Linked DNA regions of Saccharomyces cerevisiae S288C. Changing the gene in region 1 together with any one later gene gives a genetic interaction. Each region holds a gene or a part of one and is shown in the gene's direction. Other genes may lie near its edges. The genes, in order: SPT4, RTR1, HOT1 and BUR2.

Region 1 (4,182 bases):
TACTGCTGAATTCGGCTGCATTGAAAAGCTCAAATTAAAATCATCGTCAATTATTCTCATTACTTCAATCTTTGCTAGTACGCCTTTCACATGGCCTGTCGATCCTATGCTCCTACAACTAAAATGTCCTTTACTAACATGATTGCCTCCATTGCTACAATTGCGTCAGCTAAGATACTGCCGTAGTCTACTAGAAAATCATCATTAGTTCACCCGAAATGGCTCTGAGATTATGAATCACTTTAGGATGATTTACACAGAAAGCGCCGTACCGCCTCCGAGACTCTTTCACCCAACTGTGAAAGGAAAAAAAAATGTGTGAAATGAAAAAAAAAGTCGAAATATGAGATGCAAGGCTAAGTTTGATGATAGCCATTCCCAAAAATCTGCATGACTCTTACGGCTATAACATAACTATATATAAAGGCTCTACACCCACGAGCAATCGCCTTTTCATTTGTTTCAATTTTCAAAAAAGGACCGACACAAATCAATAGATAATGACAATTTCGAATAAATCGTGGAGGAGCTACTTCCCACATTTGAGAAAACTACCCGAAGATGATCAGTACTTATACTCAGACGATACTAACTCCAGTATCATAGCTGAAGAGGAGCTACATCATAGCGTAGATAAGTCCTCGAAGACAGACGTTACGGCAGAAACTACAGCTGTAGAACCTCATCCTCACAATTTAAGGCATGACTTGCCATATGAAGTGAGAGATGAAGCTGGGCGTAAATGGTGGAAATATTTTGATGAATTCGAGTATCGTGTTAATAAGGAATACAAGAAATCACGTAAGTGGTACGAGTTTTTGTATCCTAATCATACTACTCAAACCAAGGCTGAAAGACGGCTTCTTTACAAGCTAGACATTATTATTGCTTTATACTTTTTTATGTTATGTTGGTCCAAGTCAGTGGATTTGAATAACTACACTAACGCATATGTTTCCAATATGAAGGAAGATTTAAACATGAAAGGTAATGATTACGTTTACACTTCTACTATTGCTAATGTTGGTGCCATTGTCTTCCAATTACCATTTATGTATTTGTTACCAAGATTTCCCTCTCATATTATTTTGCCTGTAATGGACTTGGGCTGGACTTGGTTCACATTTGCATGTTATAGGGCAAACTCACTAGCCGAACTAAGGGCTTACAGATTTATTTTAAGTGCCTTTGGCGCTGCTTACTACCCAGTGTCCCAATATATACTAGGTTGTTGGTATGCCCCAGATGAAATTAATTCAAGAGTCTGTTTATTCTTTTGTGGGCAACAATTGGGTTCCGTGACTTCAGGACTTCTGCAAAGTCGCATATTCAAAAGTTTGAACGGCGTCCATGGTCTAGCAGGCTGGAGATGGATGTTTCTGATCGATGCCATTGCAATTTCTCTTCCCACGGCTATTATTGGTTTTTTTGTTATTCCCGGTGTACCATCTAAGTGTTACTCTTTATTTCTGACTGACGAAGAAATACGAATTGCAAGGGCCAGAAATAAGAGGAACCAAATCAAAGATGGTGTTGATAAAAGTAAGCTAGCCCCATTATGGAGCAGAAAACTTTGGAAGAAAGTATTTTGTACTCCAGCATTCTGGGTACTTGTTGTTTTTGATACATGTTCGTGGAATAACATGACTGCGTATAGTGGTTCATATACTTTGTGGTTAAAGTCTAATACAAAGTACTCCATTGCCCAAGTGAACAACCTGAGTGTTATACCCGCATGTTTAGGATTTGCGTATGTGATTTTTTGTGCCTTTGGTGCCGATTTATTTAGATGTAAGTGGATATTCATGGTTTTTGCTGCTATAATGAATACCGTTTCTTGTGCCTTACTTATCAAGTGGGATATTCCTTCGAAAGCTAAATGGTACGCTTTCTTCACCACGTATTTCAGTGTGGCCGCATCGCCTTGTCTATGGTCGTTTATTAATGACTTCTTAAGGTTTGATCCTCAGGTGAAGGCTATTACATGGATCGCCATTTATTCCTTCTCTCAATCCACTTACGCCTGGATTCCTACCTTGGCGTGGCCTACCGTGGAGTCACCACGTTTTAAGACTGGTTACACCGTGAGCTTAATTTTTGGTGCTATTTACGGTTTATGGACGTTTGTTGTACTTTTTTTTTACAAGAGAAACGAAAAGAAACATGCTCTAGGTAATGGTATCATCTTGTATGATAGTAATAAGGGTGAAGAGCTTCCAGAATTTGTAAAGAAAAATATGGAGGAAAGAGATGGTTACTACTATTTAAAGCGGTCCTCGTAGTCCAATTTACGTGAAGTAGATAGGTATATTACGCTTTAGACACCATACCTCAAATAAATATATTCATGTATATAATTTAATCATCTTCTATCTATAATTAATCTCGATGTTGATAAAGGTCACCTTATACGTTCTATGAGTGAAATCGAGTGAAAAAGTGAAATTTAAGAAAGGGCTCGAAGGATGTACTGTGTAATAATTACACCTGGCCACATTCAGTTTGGCAAAAGCGAACGAGGTACAGTGTAAGAGATGTCTAGTGAAAGAGCCTGTATGCTGTGTGGCATAGTGCAGACCACAAATGAGTTTAATAGAGATGGTTGTCCCAACTGTCAGGGTATTTTTGAAGAGGCAGGTGTTTCTACAATGGAATGTACGTCGCCTTCTTTCGAGGGCCTCGTAGGAATGTGTAAGCCTACTAAGTCGTGGGTAGCAAAGTGGCTGAGCGTAGATCATAGTATAGCTGGTATGTACGCCATCAAGGTCGATGGTAGACTACCAGCTGAGGTTGTGGAGCTGTTGCCTCACTACAAACCGAGGGATGGCAGTCAAGTTGAGTAAAACCTTCCGTTCTGATATCACATGTATAATAGTAATGAATTTTTTTTACTTTTTTTTTTTTTTAGTAAATATTCTAGCATATGAGTTTATGCTTTCATTTATTTAACGTTCTGCACTTTTGTTTTTGCTGGCAAACCCAATTTTTCTACCGTCCAGTAATTCAACTAAGGCTAAAAAGACTTTCATTAGAAAAAAAAGGTCCAAGGATAGGAAAATTTCAAGATAAAGTATGGCATTATGTTAAAGAGGTTAGCCAATCGTCAAAATGGTTTTGCGTCATTCTCGTGCAGCTCAGTCGGTCTGCGATATGGTAGGACTAATCCAAGTACAAAGAGAAGCTTTTCACTTTTTCAAAGTGTAGCGGACACGTTTTTAACAGTGCATGAAGCCTCACATATACCATGGATAGTGCTTGTTCCTTTGACTACTATGACCCTTAGAACCCTCGTGACGCTGCCATTCAGTATATGGCAGCGGAGGAGAATTTTGAAACAACAAGAACTGAGGAAATTAGTACAGCCAATAACGCCCATTATTAAACTTCGACTGGCAGCCGTTACTAATAAAAAGTCTAGAAATGCCGCCAGAATTAGCTCCAACGGTTCTTTCATGCCGTTACAACTACAGAATGCTGGCGTTTTGACACCAGAACAAATTACACTATTGGCAGTGAAAGAGACAAGAAAGAGGCAGAAAAAATTATTCAAGAAGTACAATGTACCCCTATGGAAAAATGCCTTACTGCCAATGGTGCAAATTCCTCTTTGGGTCACAGTCTCCATGGGCATCAGGACCCTAACAGAGACACAGCTTATAGAAAGTTTTTATCCTTCCTGGTTTTCCGCACTGGGTTTCAGTTCCTTTGATCTAAGCTCACCGCTAGTAGCAATGCCTCTACTAGCGCCCATTTTGGTGGGGACTCTGGCGGTATTAAACGTGGAACTCAATGGCCGACTGATGTTTAGCTCAAGTTTGTCATCGCAAGGTATAAAGACAATTTCAAGGAATTCGACAAGAGTCCAAGAGGCAATGACTAGTATACTGAACGTATCGAGACTCGGTTGTGTCGTTATGCTAGCAATGTCCTCACAGGCTCCATTCCTTCTTTCGCTCTATTGGATATCATCACAGCTATTCTCCCTGGTGCAAAATATCATATTAAATTGGATTTATCCTTACCAACGATGAGTGAAGCTGACGCATAGATAGGATATGTAATTCTACATCAGCTTGTAAATAAACAAAAATGACTTTCAATATCCTTCAACCGTTCCTGACTCTTTCCTGCTGACCCGTTTTTCCAAATTTCTCGTCGAACTTGAAATTGAAAAAAAAAAAA
Region 2 (4,878 bases), on another chromosome or scaffold:
CACTCATAGCGGTAAGGAAAGACACCGCTAACAAAGCTAAAGAAATCTTTCTCATTGGGCCAATTGCGGGATTATCTAATTTTTTGAAGAGACTAATGGCTTGAACAGGGTTCTTAATCCATTTACATTCTCTCAATATTTCCAAACCAGTCCAGAGCATACCCATGTATAAAAAGAAGGCGGTACCCAAATGCGTAGTAAGTCTATATTGAGAAACGGTAGGCTTTGATTTTCTTGCGTCTAGTTGCTCTTGATCAAGACCAGACTTCACCATCCACCAACCAACAAATCCTTGTAATCCTAATAAACCTGCGAGACCAAACAACCTCTTATTGACATGGCCTGAAGTTTTTTTAGATACAGCGAAATAAACTGCAGGTAATATAAAAACAGCGCCGATAGCACGACCCCACAATCTATGAATCCACTCCATAAAAAATATAAACTTGAACTCGTCTAAATCAATGTGAGAATTCAACAATTTAAATTCTGGTGATTCCTTATACTTGATAAATTCTTCTTCCCATTCCTTCTGGTTCATAGGGGGCAAAGTACCTGTGACAGGTTTCCATTCGGTAATACTCAGCCCCGATTCTGTTAGTCTAGTCAACCCACCAAGAACAACAATACCAAATACCAAACCGGATGTACCTATTAACCAGTAAGCAACATTCTTCGAGGTCTTCAAACGTGATTCTATAGGGTTTGATTCTGAAGCAACATGTGGTTTAAAAACAGGGGAGGAGAGAGAAAATGGACGGATGCTCACAGTTTTCTTAAAATTATATAGTTGAGTCTTTCTGATTTGTTGTCTGATGGTAGAAATATTCCTTGAGGCCCCAATACTTTGCCAGGCCAAACGACTCGAGGTTCTCGTTAATAGCTTAGCTGCCTGCCTGCCCACTTCTATGTTTCTGAAAAGCATGACGTACAGTAGTTACAACTTCAGTGCTGTGCACTATTATATAATACAGTTCCAAGTTACAATAGGAAACTAAATAAACGATAAAGGAAAGATCAATAATTCAAAAGGCAAGAACTTATAAACTGCAAAACAATAGCTTTTTAGTAAGCAGGGTTTCTTTTTTGCTCCTTGCAATATACGAAATATCCGAAAGCCGTAAGCCGCGATAAATGCGGATCTTAGATTACCATATTCTTTTAGAAACCATTTTATAGCGAGCGACATTTTCAAGCGATCGTGGATTCTTGGAATCTTTCTGTCTTCTAATATCATTTAGGCTAGGAGGAGTACATTCAGCAGTTAAAGTAGTTTTTCTTTTCCGCATTGGCGATACACTTTCGGTCTCTATACGATTCTCTTTATTGTAATCAGAATGTAATGCAATTCTTGTAGACACGTCGACTTTACCCATACCGCCCGAGAGTAAACCTGGGACGTATTCTTCTTCAGTTACAACGGTATTGAAAGCTTGGTCTCTGAACCGTTGCTCTATCCGTTTGCTCCATTTGATTAAAATAAGATCTAGTGTAAATTTTGCCAACAATGCTAGTAAAAACACGGATGCCCCCATGAAGAGGATCCTAAATAGCGAAGGAAGGTAAGAAGGTTCCGATGATTTAAAAAGTGTTGGCCTCACCATTACAATAAAAAGGACAACGAATGCAGGTAAAGGCAATCCCAATCTATCTTCTAATTTGTGCGTTCTCGTAGAATAATCCTTGTATATTATATAATAGAACTTATCATATATCTGTGGGCGGATCCGATTGAATTTTGTGATGTAAGCATGCTTTGCCCAATCCACTAACACTTCACTCCCTACCACGCTTACCATCGGCCCACAAAGTATGTTAATGACGATTGATAATGTGGAACGTGGACTCCAGAAATTGATGCTTGTGTTCGATAATGAAGATGACCACGACTGGAGGTTCCTAAGGCCAGTTATTGACAATAATAAGGTCAACTTAAATCTTTCCACTACGTCTGCAATGGTTATTTGGAAAAATCCCTCCTTATCAAATTTCTTTAAAACCGATGATTTGATTTCTGCAAATTGCATGGATAGTAATAAAGTTAGCAAGGCATTGGAATACGAATTCACGGCTATGTTTAATGAAATGGCCTGGTAAACCAATACATAGCCGTGTATAGTCACATATGTCAAGCTCATTGACACTAACAAACATTTATGCAGTAATATCCGTTCCGAGTTTTTCCTAGAAAGCATAACCGTTAATAAGCTCTGGCCCAAACTTGCCAACATTTTGTCCGCCATTTCCAGTACACTGAATAGCATGTACAATTTCATCGTACTTTGCCGTTTTATCCTGTGATATAGTTTTGAGGTGTCTAGTTTGCTCAACAAAATGGATGAAATCACGATGATAAAAATCATACATCTCTCTTTATATTCTCTTGAAGTTATTCTATATCGAAAGGGTATTTTATTCTTATGCCCAGACCGTTGTTGCAGGCGATAATGCTGACGATAACTCTTGAATTGCTTTACATATCCCTTTATCAGTCGTATCGGTAATACAGTAAAGTAATACAAAAAACAGTCCAAGCTTGTTAAAAGTGCAAAGAGCATGAACTTTTCCAGGAACATTGGTATTCTTATCATGTTGAGTAATTGTTCCAATTCATAATCATCCTCATGTTCTTCTTCGCTTTTTGCAGCGCTACTTTCATCTTGCTCTTCAACAATATTGTGTCTATCTATAGTATTCCATAGGAAGGACCACTTTTTGTCTAATCGTGAAATTATATGTATAGCTGACGGCGCACTATTTCTTCTCAGTAAACGTTTTTTAGCTGTGTCCTTCGCTACTGCCGTATCCTTGTGTTGCATGGGAGTGCTGCTTTTTTTTTGGATTACTCGGTAGAATAATATATACACCTTATAGATCGATCAGGTCGATTCAGAGACAGCATCGTGATATTAAAAGTAACTAATTTTCTTATTTCATCTCTTTCCGATATTTTTGTCCGAAATAGGAATACTACAATACAAAATCAGCTGGCATCCAGAAGTGGTCAAAAGCAATGGAAAAGTGAAGAAAGAGACACATTGAGGAGCGAATTGAACAATTCATAAACATTCCCAGTCTAAAATATCTATACATCGGCATCTTAGTTTGAAAAATTAGGACGAAGTTAACAAGAATAAGAAATGGCGACGATTGAAGATATTAAGGAAACGGCGTTAATCCCTTTCCAAAAGCACAGGCAACTTTCCATGCATGAAGCAGAAGTTATAACTTTAGAGATTATAGGCTTATTATGTGATTCAGAATGCAAGGATGAGAAAACATTGAAATATTTGGGCCGATTTCTCACACCGGATATGTATCAAGACCTAGTAGATGAGAGGAATCTAAACAAAAGATGCGGATATCCTCTTTGCGGTAAATCGCCAGAAAGAATACGTGATCCATTTTCAATGAATGATACTACTAAGAAATTTTTATTAGAAAACAATCCGTATGCATATTTGTCGCACTATTGCAGTAAGTTCCATTTTAGATGTTCCCAATTTTATCAAGTGCAACTATCTGATGAAGCTTTATTTGCAAGAACAGGGGTTCACCTATTTGAAGATCCTGAACAGGACAAACACGATATAGATTTCAAAGTGACTTTGTTTGAAGAGTTGCTAAGAGAAAAGGCATCCGAAGAAGACATTAAATCATTGATATCCGGTCTCAAAAAGTTAGGATTAAATCCTGACAGTGGGACTACAGAAAAAGATGATACTGAGCTGGAAGATGATTTATCGAAGTGGTTGGCACAAATCAAAATTGTTGAGAATGATAATCCCAGCATTTTGGGTGATTTCACAAGGGAAGATTGACCGGCTATATCAATGCACCTAAATTCAGAACAGATTATGGACGTTTCATTGGCTGAAAATAGTTAATTCATCATCATAACTTAAAATACTTTACAGCGCCAGGACAAAAATACTGTTATTCGTGTATGTCAAAATGTGGTTCTCAATTTTCTACAATGTAGCGCTTTTATAACTTTGCTATAATTCACTTTGAGTCACCACGTAGCAATTCTTTACATACCTATTGGTTTCTCTGAAGGGCCATCCATATACGAAAGTGTTGCTTCAGAGTTTTGGTTCGAAAATCAACAAGTATTTAATGTGTTGAAGTATCGCGACGTTCCTTCCTTTTGGGCAATAACGGTAGAACTGGCCGTCCAGCATCGAATGGATACAATAGAAGGAAAATTTGGCAATTCAGAACAGTAGATATTTATCTAAGACGACCCAACAGCTAGGACGCTGCAAGAAGAATCGTTCACCTTCAATTTATTATTTGTTTAGCAAGACGAGAGTATGTGGGATTTTTGTGTGATAATTTAATGAAAGTTAGATAGGTGTCTGACTTCGATCTTTCGTTAAACTAATATTCTTAGTTTATAGAATACACTTGAAGCTCTCTTCGAGAACATAGGAAACCCACAGAAGGAAGTCGACACTTCTAGATAATAATATTGTCTCTTTTTTTTTTGTTTTGTATGTTATCAATAATTATCCTACTATTTAGTAAATCTTTTACGTTTCGGCATCCATGGAATTTGATAACCAATTCTCATCATGTATGTCATCTTCCTAGTTTGTGTAGAACGATATACTTATAAGTATATACTAGTCAATTCATGATTTTATTTGACCCTGTTAGTCCATCAATATACGCCATCTTTTTACTAATATATATAATGGCGTTAAAATACCGGTAAATCGTTCAATTGACTATAAGCAGTTTCTTCATTTGTAGAGAATGTGGATTTTGATGTAATTGTTGGGATTCCATTGTGATTAAGGTTATAATATTAGGTATGTAGATATACTAGAAGTTCTCCTCGAGGATTTAGGAATCCATAAAAGGGAATCTGCA
Region 3 (6,057 bases), on another chromosome or scaffold:
AGCGCAAAAAAAGATAACTGACCGGGGCTAGTGTTTCAGCCTTACTATCTCATGCATTTTCGTATTATATGCCATGCATCCTGCTTTCGTAATCATCAAATTCTGAAAATTGTTCGGGATCTCTCTCGTGATCATTTTCATCTTCGTTATCATTATCAACACTATCGAAAGATGCTTCATCAGTAATTAAATTTCTGCTCGTTCCAATAATTCGTCCGCTTATTGCTGATTTATCATTTTTCGAATGATGTTCATCGTCCGAGTAACTTGGTGGTAGCATAGGTAAGGAATCTAGATTAATTTCCTCATTGATGATCTTCTTTCCAGTGGGAGGGGACATAGTGAATTCAAATCCAGGTGGTGGCGGTAATATTTCACCGTTTCTTATAATTATATCATCATTGAGATTTGTAGTACTACCAGCCGCAATATTGTCGCTATCACCGTCTGAAAAATCTTCGTCGAAATCATTGTCTTCACCACCGCTTTCTAATAGGGTATCTTTACCGTAGTCTTCGTAAGAAGGAGGAGGTAATTTAATGCCGTTTGACTTTGCGTATCCCCATTTTTTAACGTTTGCTTCTATATAAACAAAGCCATAAGTGCCGAAATTCACATGAATTTGACAAGGTACGTTGGAGCCAATGATCGGGTATAGGTATTGGAATTTCCAGCCGCGGATATGACCACCAACAGATTTTTCATTTAGTTTTTTTCCGTTCCTGGTGAAAAATACTGTTCCACTACGTGACCTATAGCCAATGCCAACAATGTCTCCCTTTTCACACTGTGGAAATAACGTTCTTAATTGCTCATTTAGTTTGAAGGAGTCATTAAATCTTCTGGCGCCGTTAGAATCGTATGCTATCGAATGGTGGTGTCTTCCCGGTAACCTGAAATATGGATAAGGCTGTGTGGAAAGACCAAATGAGATGACACCTTTCGATACATTTTCATCACTGTTTAGTGGGCCATCCGTTTCAAATATCTTGAATTCACAATAATATACTTTATTTATACACGGAATGGGTAGATTTGTGGATATAGAAGCATCATAATTATAATTTAGAAAAGAAACCTCTGTTTTATTTTCCACTATGACAGTATGGTTTGGCATATCAGGATTTGGGCTAAACTCCCATGCATAAGCCCCCTCTTCTTGAATATATTGCCTTGTTTGCTCGTTCATAATAGGGTCTTCACGGGTGGTGTCTGGATTGCTATCTTCGGACTGTTGTAAAAGTCCCTGGTTAAGCAGAAATGGTGGGTTCTGCTTGATATACTCCTCACCTTGCTTATAATAAAACTGCTCTTCAGGTGACAACTGTGCCAGCTTATCTCTTACTTCATCAGCATCGTCAAGATTGTTGGGCCACCTTAAACTCATGTTTTCCATTAATCTTCTGCTATGAACGTGTGCATTATTTTCGTCATAATCGCTGAATAAAGATATTCTTTGGCCAGGGCCATGCTCATTATAATATGCAGTTATAAGCCGCGTAGCTATCTGTTTTGTAAAAAAATAAACGATACAGATGACGATGTAGACCACGATTAAGGTTCCAAACGCAAACAACATTATATCCATGTTAAGTTCGTCAGTATCGTCTCCCCCATAAGATACATCGCCACGGGGGATCACCGAAGATCTACCACACCGTATTTGTCCGCTTATCGAACCGAGAAGCAGCGATTCTATCAGAAACTTGAATGACATTTGCTTTTTTATATAGAAAAAAAATTTGGCTCTCCAAACTTTAAGATTTTTTATAATTATTAACCAATGACAATATAGATAACTTGAAACAACTCTTGAAAATTTTGTAGTTAGGCACCAGTCCTTTGGTTTTTCAATGTTCTATAAAAAATCACTCCTCCATGCAGCAGTAAAGCGCTATTCTCAAAAATAGCTCAACCTGAGAGAGGAAGAAAGAGCAGTAGTAAATAGAGCAAGGTTCTTAAAGCCTGTATCAATGAAATTTTGTTATGGCGTTTATATGGATAACCTGGAATTTGCCTTTTTTCTTTATAGCGCACCGTTCCGAAGAAAAAAATAAAAAAAAAGGGCCGACGGAGGGTTAGGTCAAATTAAATATTGAGCTAGGTTTAGTTATCTCTTTTTTAGGTTTTTTATATACAAAAAAGATTATATTTAGGGTACATATGGCTGGAGCATAATGTCTGGAATGGGTATTGCGATTCTTTGCATCGTACGTACAAAGATTTATAGGATAACCATCAGCTTCGATTATTCTACACTGATGAGCCCTTTCTTCTTATTCTTAATGATGCCCACTACATTAAAGGATGGGTACAGGATGAATAGTCAAGTAAATGAAGATGCTATAGGTATCAATCTTGACCTCTCACTGCCCACTCACATTTCGCCTACGACTGGTTCAGAGAGCGCCAGTGGCAGTAACGCCAGTACACTTCGCAACGATGGAAATGCACTAGATGGAGGTCTTTTGAGGACTTCAGCAGCGATTTCAGCACCCACAGGTACCAGTCAACCAACAGAAACTATTGGTGAAAAACTGAGTAATGAAGAGCGGGTGAACTCGAATGTTTCCGCTTCGAACTCGACAACGGCGGGTACAGGGCGTATGTTAAGCCAATCCTTGACTAATGATTCACCGTCGAACGAAATATCGACGGATCAGTTGAAGATTTTTCAAAGAATGGACGAAATGAGTGCCCGAATGATTGAGATGGAGGAAAGCTTCAACAAGTTATCTAATAAGATCGCGGAACAGAATACAATGGTTTTAAACCTAAAACAAGATAACTATAAAGTTATGAACAAATTGAATATATTACTTAAGTTGGTTGCGCAGCCAAGCGCGCGCCCAAGCACAAACAATGCCCAAAATAAGCTTGCTATCGAATTGCTAAATTCGATATCAGCCGTTAGTAGTGCTTACTTGCAGAAAATGCAGAATAATGGCTCTGGTAGACAGCATACTGCTGATTTATGTACAGGAGATTCCAACACCCATTCTGGTATCAACCAGCATCGGACTACGAATGGAACCATAGATGTGAATACGAATACTGCACAGCTAAACAACCAATTTTCTAACGCACTAAATACTATCTTACCTGATCAGCAGCATAATCGAAATAATGTTTCCCAAAATATAAACCAATCGCTCCCTAACCGACAACTTGGTCCTGTTATAAACACACAAGCCAATCAGAACCAGTCGCAGGTTTTAATTCATAACACAAATACACATCAGCAGGTAAATCGCTCGCCTATTAGTTTCCCGAACGCTTCAACTGACAAGCCATTCAAGTTGAACCCAAATGGGATTAAACGGCGCAGAAGAAATACGCAAAGTAACAACAATGCGAGCACAAATGACCATGCTAGTGCTGCACAAAAGCCCATATCAGCCCTATCTCCATTAACGAATTCTCATAATTCTACAACTAGCATGAATTATACCAATTCTTCCATTCATTCAGGCGTCACCAGTGCTTCAAATTCATTTCATGACTTAAATTCATTGAATAACTTTGGCACGACAACAGCTTTAAGTTTGCCCAGCTTAGCCCTAGATAACGCTTCTTTTCCCCCAAATCAAAATGTTATACCCCCTATTATAAATAATACCCAGCAGCCTCTATCATTTTCCCAATTGATCAATCAGGATAGCACGACATCTGAATTGTTACCGAGTGGTAAGTCAGGGGTGAACACGAATATTGTAAATAGAAACAGAGCTTCTACTCTACCGTCGTACCCAAAACCAATGACAGTGAAAAGTAATGTCGACGATGATGGCTATCAAGAGGATGATGATGATGACGGTGATGACGAAGGTGATGGAAGGGATAATGAAGAAGACAGCACTGCTGAGGAAGATGAAGTAGATGATGAAATCGAAACAGATATGAAGAACGCTTCGATTAACAAGCGGAGGAGGAGCTTGCATCATAAAAAAAGTAACTCTTTAAACGGTAGAAGAAAGCTTCACGGCGAGTCGGCTACTAAGCCCAACATAAACTCTGATTTACATTATAGGATATTGAAGGCTCCCACTGACGTAAAGACTATATGGGAAGAGTATGATACTGGAATAAGAGGAAAGCCATCGATCAAGCATCTTGAGGCCAAGTATGGTAACAAGTGGAGGCTCAATAAAAATAAGAAGACCTTTTCAAGGCGAAAAAGATTGTACAAGTTCATTCTGAACGGTATGGAGAGAGGTAAAACGGCACAAGAGATGATAGAAACCTTAGAGAACAAAAGGCTATATAAAGATGATGAGGATGGCGAAGTAAAGAAAAGAACCATTGGCTGGTTGCAAGAGAGCCTTGCTGGAATATAGGCACGTACGATAGTAAATAATCGTTTACAATCATAGGAAGGAAGGAAAAAACAAGTGTAACATAAATACATTCTGTAAATCTACAAAAATCGTTAGTGCTGTTTTCTTTTTGAGATTGAAAAGTACGAATCATACACATCTCTTATTCTGAGAAGGGTGCATATGACGTAAATCAATGCGTACAAAGCGGTTTCCGGTGCTGGCCTGGCCCACCACAGTTTTGGCGTGGTTGATTTTAAAAACCTTCGGGAAGGTGAAAAAACCACTCCGAAGGTTCGAGGATGACAAATCGCCCCTTAGCTGTGGCCATACAAGCTTGGCACCGACGAAAAAGGGAAAAAGGAAAAGAATGTCGTACAAGAACTCTTACAACCACGTTGAGATTTCATTTAACAACGCCCCCCTTTCCATTATATAAGAAGGCATTAATTTTTATGTAATAAAAAAAGAATTTCTCGAAAATGTCTTACAATTAATTTTTTCTTTTGTAGAGTAGGGCTTTAATAGACTGATATATACGGTATTATAAGTGAACGAAAAAAACAGCAATGGGTTTATTTGATAAAGTGAAGCAATTTGCTAACAGCAATAATAACAACAATGATTCTGGCAATAACAATCAAGGCGATTATGTTACCAAAGCTGAGAATATGATCGGCGAAGATAGAGTCAATCAATTCAAAAGCAAAATCGGAGAGGACAGATTTGATAAGATGGAGTCCAAGGTTCGTCAACAATTTTCTAATACCTCTATAAATGACAACGACTCCAACAACAACGACTCATATGGTTCTAATAACAACGATTCATATGGTTCTAACAACAATGATTCATATGGCTCTAACAACAATGATTCATATGGCTCCAACAACAATGATTCATATGGCTCTAACAACGATGATTCCTACGGTTCTTCCAACAAGAAGAAGAGCTCTTATGGTTCTAACAATGACGATTCGTACGGCTCCAGCAACAACAATGACTCTTACGGTTCCAACAACAATGACTCTTACGGTTCCAACAACAATGACTCTTACGGTTCCAACAATGACGACTCTTACGGTTCGTCAAACAAGAATAAGAGCTCTTACGGTTCCAACAATGACGATTCTTATGGCTCTAACAATGATGATTCATATGGTTCTTCCAACAAGAAGAAGAGTTCTTATGGTTCCAGCAACAACGATTCGTATGGTTCTAACAACGATGATTCATATGGTTCTAACAACAATGATTCATATGGCTCTAACAACGATGATTCCTACGGTTCTTCCAACAAGAAGAAGAGCTCTTATGGTTCTAACAATGACGATTCGTACGGCTCCAGCAACAACAATGACTCTTACGGTTCCAACAATGACGACTCTTACGGTTCGTCAAACAAGAATAAGAGCTCTTACGGTTCTTCTAGCAACGATGATTCTTACGGATCTTCCAATAACGACGACTCTTACGGTTCTTCCAACAAGAAGAAGAGTTCTTATGGTTCCAACAATGACGATTCTTATGGCTCTAACAATGATGATTCATATGGTTCTTCCAACAAGAAGAAGAGTTCTTATGGTTCCAGCAACAACGATTCGTATGGTTCTAACAACGATGATTCCTACGGTTCTTCTAACAAAAAGAAGAGTTCTTATGGTTCCAACAACGATGATTCATACGGCTCCAGCAACAACAATGACTCTTACGGTTCCAACAATGACGACTCTTACGGTTC
Region 4 (5,137 bases), on another chromosome or scaffold:
GGTTCTGATTCTACCAGTAACTTTAATAGTCGGCCCAAGGAAAGAACTCTTATGCAGTCGTTGACAGCTTTACCTGTTAACTTTTGGTCCAGGAGGAAGGACGAGCCTACACCGGTAAACGTTTGGTTTTATGTAAAAAATGCGCACGTTGCCAGATACATACCGAAAATTATTACGGAAATAGGCATATGCAACTATGGGCCGAAGCAGATCGTGGCAAGTGCAGGATATATCAACGAATTGATAACATCTGAAGGAATATACTGTGTTAACCTAGGCCACCTTCCCAGGCTATACGATGAGCAAATTTTTGAAGGCACTGGAACGACACATCTTCCCCTGGAACTGAAAGCTATCGACAGGACAGATTCAGATGTTTGTATCAATGGTGATTTAGTTCTACTCGGTTATGACTTTATTCCATATCAGATATCGAAGCCGTGGTTACTCTTTAGAATCGAACCCGTAAATAGCATTGAAGCAATCTTCAACTATAGTGAATGTTCTTTTTCATACCAGTTTGCATGGAGTTTGGCCTGCTTACAATCTGAAGAGAAAATTTCATTTCCTAGAGACACGATAATTGGGCACGGTTTACCTTACAAGCCATCCAAATTGATAAGAATTTTCGTCTACAAGCATCCGGAACAAAAGCAAGATCTTGGTCAAGAAATAGCATTGCCCAACTGGAATACCCCTTATCTTCGAAGATGAAAAAAAAATTTATCAATTAGTCTATAATATATGTGTATATACGTCTATGCACCTACCTACTTATAAATGGATATAATATTCTTGCAATGATGAAAATATGTATAGTCAAATTTCATTTTTTTCAATTGATAAATGTACTTTCAATGATGGAAACTCCTTCATCGTCATCGAATTTAGACTTCTGGCAGAATTGGTAAATGAATGGCTTCATGTTTGCCAGATTTTCAGCAATAGACCTAATGAAAGCGGGCAGCTCACTCATTATATCGTACCTATTGACTAATCTTAAATTAGATTCTTCAAAACCACGCGGAAATGAAATGGATGTAGGATATTTCCAACCATTTTGCTTATCCTCTTTTGTAGATGGAAATTTAACAGCATGATCATTTACACTTGACCCGACCTCCAAAATTTTGTCCTTATCACTAACCGCCCATATAGTCACTGTAGTGCTGCCATATTCTTTTGTTGTGGTGAATTCAATACACATCATCGAACGCTTCTCACCATTGAAACAAAGAAAATTCCATTTACTAGCCGCCTTATTGGGTATTAGCCCCTGGACAGCATCCAGATACAACATAGGCGTGTCCTTCAAGTCCAGCTTCACAGGTTTATCGTTTTTCTTGTATGAGATGGTACCATTGCAAAAACCTCTAGGAACAAAAACATGTCTTATCATTTTTCTGGACGTACTAGAAGAGTCTCTTTTTGCTAACTCTTCCAAGCTGATGCTCTTGTCAAGGTAATAATTGGAACCGTCCGGGTTTATTATGAATCCTTCTTGTAAATTTACGGTAATGTCAACCTTCAAATCTTTTAGTAAACAGCTTGTACTTCCCTTCGGAATATCTATCTTAATTAATAATTGAGCAAATCCACTGGAGGAAGAATTTTCCAAAGGTACGAAGTGAAACGTAACATTGTCCGATTCAACTTTTAACGTATCAAAATCTTTGATATTATCAATTTTAAAGCTTTCCCATATATCAATGTCTTCTTCAGAGTTTTCCTCACTGCTGGCTTTAAATATTTTGAAATTTAACTGAAAACCTTTGTATATACCGCCCATAACACTGGAATATAATAGTTGAATTAATCCACATTTGCCGTTGGTGAGATCCGTAAAATACAGAGTTTGTGTCTCTATTCTTGTTTCCGTTGGATTTCTTACTGCTTTTAATAAACTATGTGACTTGAACTTTTTGTGATTTGACGTCCTGCAAAACCATTCTAGTTTCGATGTATCCTGAAATTTAGTATAATTAGCATGATCCTTCTCGGATAAAACTTCCTTAACGGGGGCAAATTTCGTCTTCTCCTTTTTGATCGCAACCGCCATTTTTTCTTTGCTCTATGATTTTTATGTTAATTAAACTGTTCGTTGCCCTAAAATTTTGAAAATTTCTCGAATATTTAGAGAGAATCCGTCACTATTTTAGTATCTATCTTGTCTATTTATATATAAAATCTCATTCCCCTGTTATGGTTTTTGCCAAGCCCTATCCCAAAAAACCAAATGATACATGATAAACCTATTTATCCTCTTTAACAGACCTATCGTTTAAAGCTTTTTTATTGCAAACCCTATTCATTATGGCTTTTTGACCTAGGTCTCATTGTGACTTCTATTTTTCACTGTTCAGTAAAAAAAGAAAAGTGATTAAAAAGTATCACTATTTCTGTTAGAAAGCAAGTAGCTATTTTGATTGGTAATTATATACACATATTGAAGGAGGCCGTAGTATTTTCGTTTAAAATATATTACAGTAAGATAATGTCTGCTACATCTTCAAGTGGTGACGTGAAAAAATTTCAAGCTGTACCAAAACCAACGAGCAATGCATCACCACCACCAGCATCGAGTGGGTTTAACGCAAGGACCCTATGGCCGGATTTGATAGAAACACCAGAAAACCAGTGGGTTTTTGAGTGCAAAGATATTATTGAAAAGATAGGCACTAATGGACCGATAGCAGTGGAAATAAAAAAAAATATGGAAAAATGCTTAATGTACTTTTACACACTTAAAAAAAAATTAAATCTTTTTGATCACACCTATACGGCATCATGCATTCTATTTTACAGGTATTGGTTCATATATGGAATACCTACAGCCATAACTGAATGTATTCATATATCACAGGGAATTCTGGTCACCGCTTGCAAAACAATGGAGAATAATAGGCCTATAGAGGCCTATATTAAGGCGACTTGTGAGTTTTTGATGCAAAATATACCGTCTTTAAAAAGTCGAACAAATATTGATAAACTTAAATGGGAATTTAGAGATAAGTTAGTGACGAATGAAAAAAAAATACTATGTTTATTTGGCTTTGACTTAAATATCAGTAATCCAAAAGAATTGATTGAAGAAGTGTTCAGTGGCTATTATAGATTCAACAGGGATCACAATCTGCCAGAAAACTTTAAAAAAGCTTTTCCAAAAATTCTTCAAGAATCAAGAAATTTTATGGTCCAAGCTGTCACCCAGCCAGTTTCTTTATTGTGCGACGGTTATACGTTCATTGTACTATCTCTCATATACTGTGGTTTAGAGTATAAAAAGCTTGTAGACAAAGATTTCAGATATCCGAAAAACTTCTTCAAGGATAGATTCCCTATCGAAGTAACGCCGGAAAATTTTGCCAATATCTTTACCGATTACAAGTTACTGGAAGAGAATTTTTTCAACTTAAAAAGTAATAAAGGTGCTAAATTACAAATTGATTCAAGCATGATTGATTCGGTGATTGACGAAAGTGGCGATGTGGAAAATGAAGTTTCAGAAATCTCTGATCCGTTTAACTACGAGTTGATTAAATCCGGTGAGGTGAAGGAAGAGTTTTTGAATCATATTGAAACAAGGGTTAAAGATTTACTAGATAAGGCTAAACAAGAAAGTATGAAGAGAAAGGCTAAAGATCCTATAAGAACCCCAGATGCCAAAAAACCTAAAATATAAAAATAGAGTACAAGTTATGTTTAATTGGAGGGATCAGTAAAGGTTTGATATATACGTGACAAAATGTCCGGCAAGTTCCCTATGTTATCCTGATAGCAATATTTCCAATACTCAATCCAATGATCATCTGTTTCTGGATCTTTAGGTGAGTCAAAGCGCAGTTTCTGCTTCAATTTTGTTTTCATCTTGTCTATTATTATTCTGGGATGTCTGAATTGGTAAGTTCGGGGATGATAATCGTCCAGAGATTCTGAACAGTCATTATCTTCGGATATTTTTTCAGCAACAAGTAATTTCCCCTCCATAGCAGTCAACAGTACCTTAGGTAGTTGGTAGTCAGTTACTTCATCAGGATTGTCACAAGCATCAATAATATTTTCGATGATACATAAGCATTCTATGGTCAATTTATCCATTTCAGATGATGCTTCGAATGTGTATTCATTATCTTGCATATAGTATAGTTTTAATACATAAAAAAACTGGATAACTTTAAATTGAACACCTGATGAAAGTAATAAGCCTTCCAGAATTTTATTCAAGCAGCATATAATCTGAGGGTCATTTTTAAGTTTGAAAGTTATTGACAGAATATTTTTTTGAATTGTTTCATTCATGTGGTTACTATCTACTAATAGTCCGATTCTGGGACCGAACACATCACATTCACACTCCCAAATTTTTCCTCTCAGAATGGCTAACATTTCTTCGATTTCTGCACAATACTGAAAAAACTGACTAAAAACAAAATTTTCATTGACCTTTGAAAATTTAAGCGTTATCTTATCCATCGCATCGAAAGCGACGCAGTATAACGCCTCAATAACATCTACCTCGTCGAGTGACCAGTGCCATTGAAGTGACTTGGTCTCCTCATTTAAATCGAAGCCATGGGAATAATTAGGGTTTTGTCTTTTGATAAAATTTTTTAGATTATTGCCTACCAATGCTTCATTTTCTTTCAAATCAATTAGAAAACAGTGGCAACACAACATGGATATAAATAGTTCGCAAAGTTCATAAAAAGCTCCAATTTGCTCGTCTGCGATACTTGCAAATAGTCTTGTCCTTTTTGAGTACGCAATGAATTGTAAGCACCAGCGAAAAGATTGAAATGCGAGGTTATAATTTTTATCTACATGACCAAATACTCCTTGAAATAATTTTATATATAGTACCAGTTTTAATTTATTCATTGTCTCTGGATCGGCTTTATCTTTCTTCATTATCTTGATGATATGTTTTGGACCCATCGCAAGATTAAAGTTTAAAATTTTGGCCAGCGCTTCTTTCAGAAGGTTATTGGTTTGAATCCTTAATGGTGAACCTTTTTTCATGATCGAAAGATTATAAAAAACTACATGGTACGGAATATAAAGAGCCAAAAAGTCCCTTATCAAATCACCATTATATGCTTGTAAATTTAGGATAGTCTTCACAGCTTTTTTAAATTCT

The links.
Region 2: mutations in SPT4 (region 1) and RTR1 are lethal when combined (synthetic lethality), as found in Saccharomyces cerevisiae (one study listed by BioGRID).
Region 3: mutations in SPT4 (region 1) and HOT1 impair growth when combined (synthetic growth defect), as found in Saccharomyces cerevisiae (one study listed by BioGRID).
Region 4: mutations in SPT4 (region 1) and BUR2 are lethal when combined (synthetic lethality), as found in Saccharomyces cerevisiae (2 studies listed by BioGRID).

What each region holds. Positions count from the first base shown.
Region 1 is NC_001139.9:616,177-620,358, reverse strand, and holds SPT4 (transcription elongation factor SPT4), read left to right. Parts: upstream 1-2,534; coding exon 2,535-2,843; downstream 2,844-4,182. Other genes in the region: VHT1 (Vht1p), read left to right, coding at 501-2,282; membrane insertase COX18, read left to right, coding at 3,081-4,031.
Region 2 is NC_001137.3:449,506-454,383, reverse strand, and holds RTR1 (RNA polymerase II subunit B1 CTD phosphatase RTR1), read left to right. Parts: upstream 1-3,140; coding exon 3,141-3,821; downstream 3,822-4,878. Other genes in the region: COX15 (Cox15p), read right to left, coding at 1-925; EMP65 (Emp65p), read right to left, coding at 1,149-2,819; YER138W-A (uncharacterized protein), read right to left, coding at 4,806-4,878. UniProt on the Saccharomyces cerevisiae protein: RNA polymerase II subunit B1 C-terminal domain (CTD) phosphatase that dephosphorylates 'Ser-5' of the CTD and regulates RNA polymerase II during the transition from 'Ser-5' to 'Ser-2' phosphorylation.
Region 3 is NC_001145.3:603,804-609,860, forward strand, and holds HOT1 (Hot1p), read left to right. Parts: upstream 1-2,177; coding exon 2,178-4,337; downstream 4,338-6,057. Other genes in the region: EAR1 (Ear1p), read right to left, coding at 65-1,717; DDR48 (DNA damage-responsive protein 48), read left to right, coding at 4,886-6,057. UniProt on the Saccharomyces cerevisiae protein: Required for a complete transcriptional response to osmotic stress, through recruitment of HOG1 followed by pol II recruitment to the promoters of GPD1 and other HOG-dependent genes.
Region 4 is NC_001144.5:586,860-591,996, forward strand, and holds BUR2 (Bur2p), read left to right. Parts: upstream 1-2,494; coding exon 2,495-3,682; downstream 3,683-5,137. Other genes in the region: UCC1 (Ucc1p), read left to right, coding at 1-714; YLR225C (uncharacterized protein), read right to left, coding at 836-2,059; ADY4 (Ady4p), read right to left, coding at 3,703-5,137. UniProt on the Saccharomyces cerevisiae protein: Component of the BUR kinase complex involved in transcription regulation.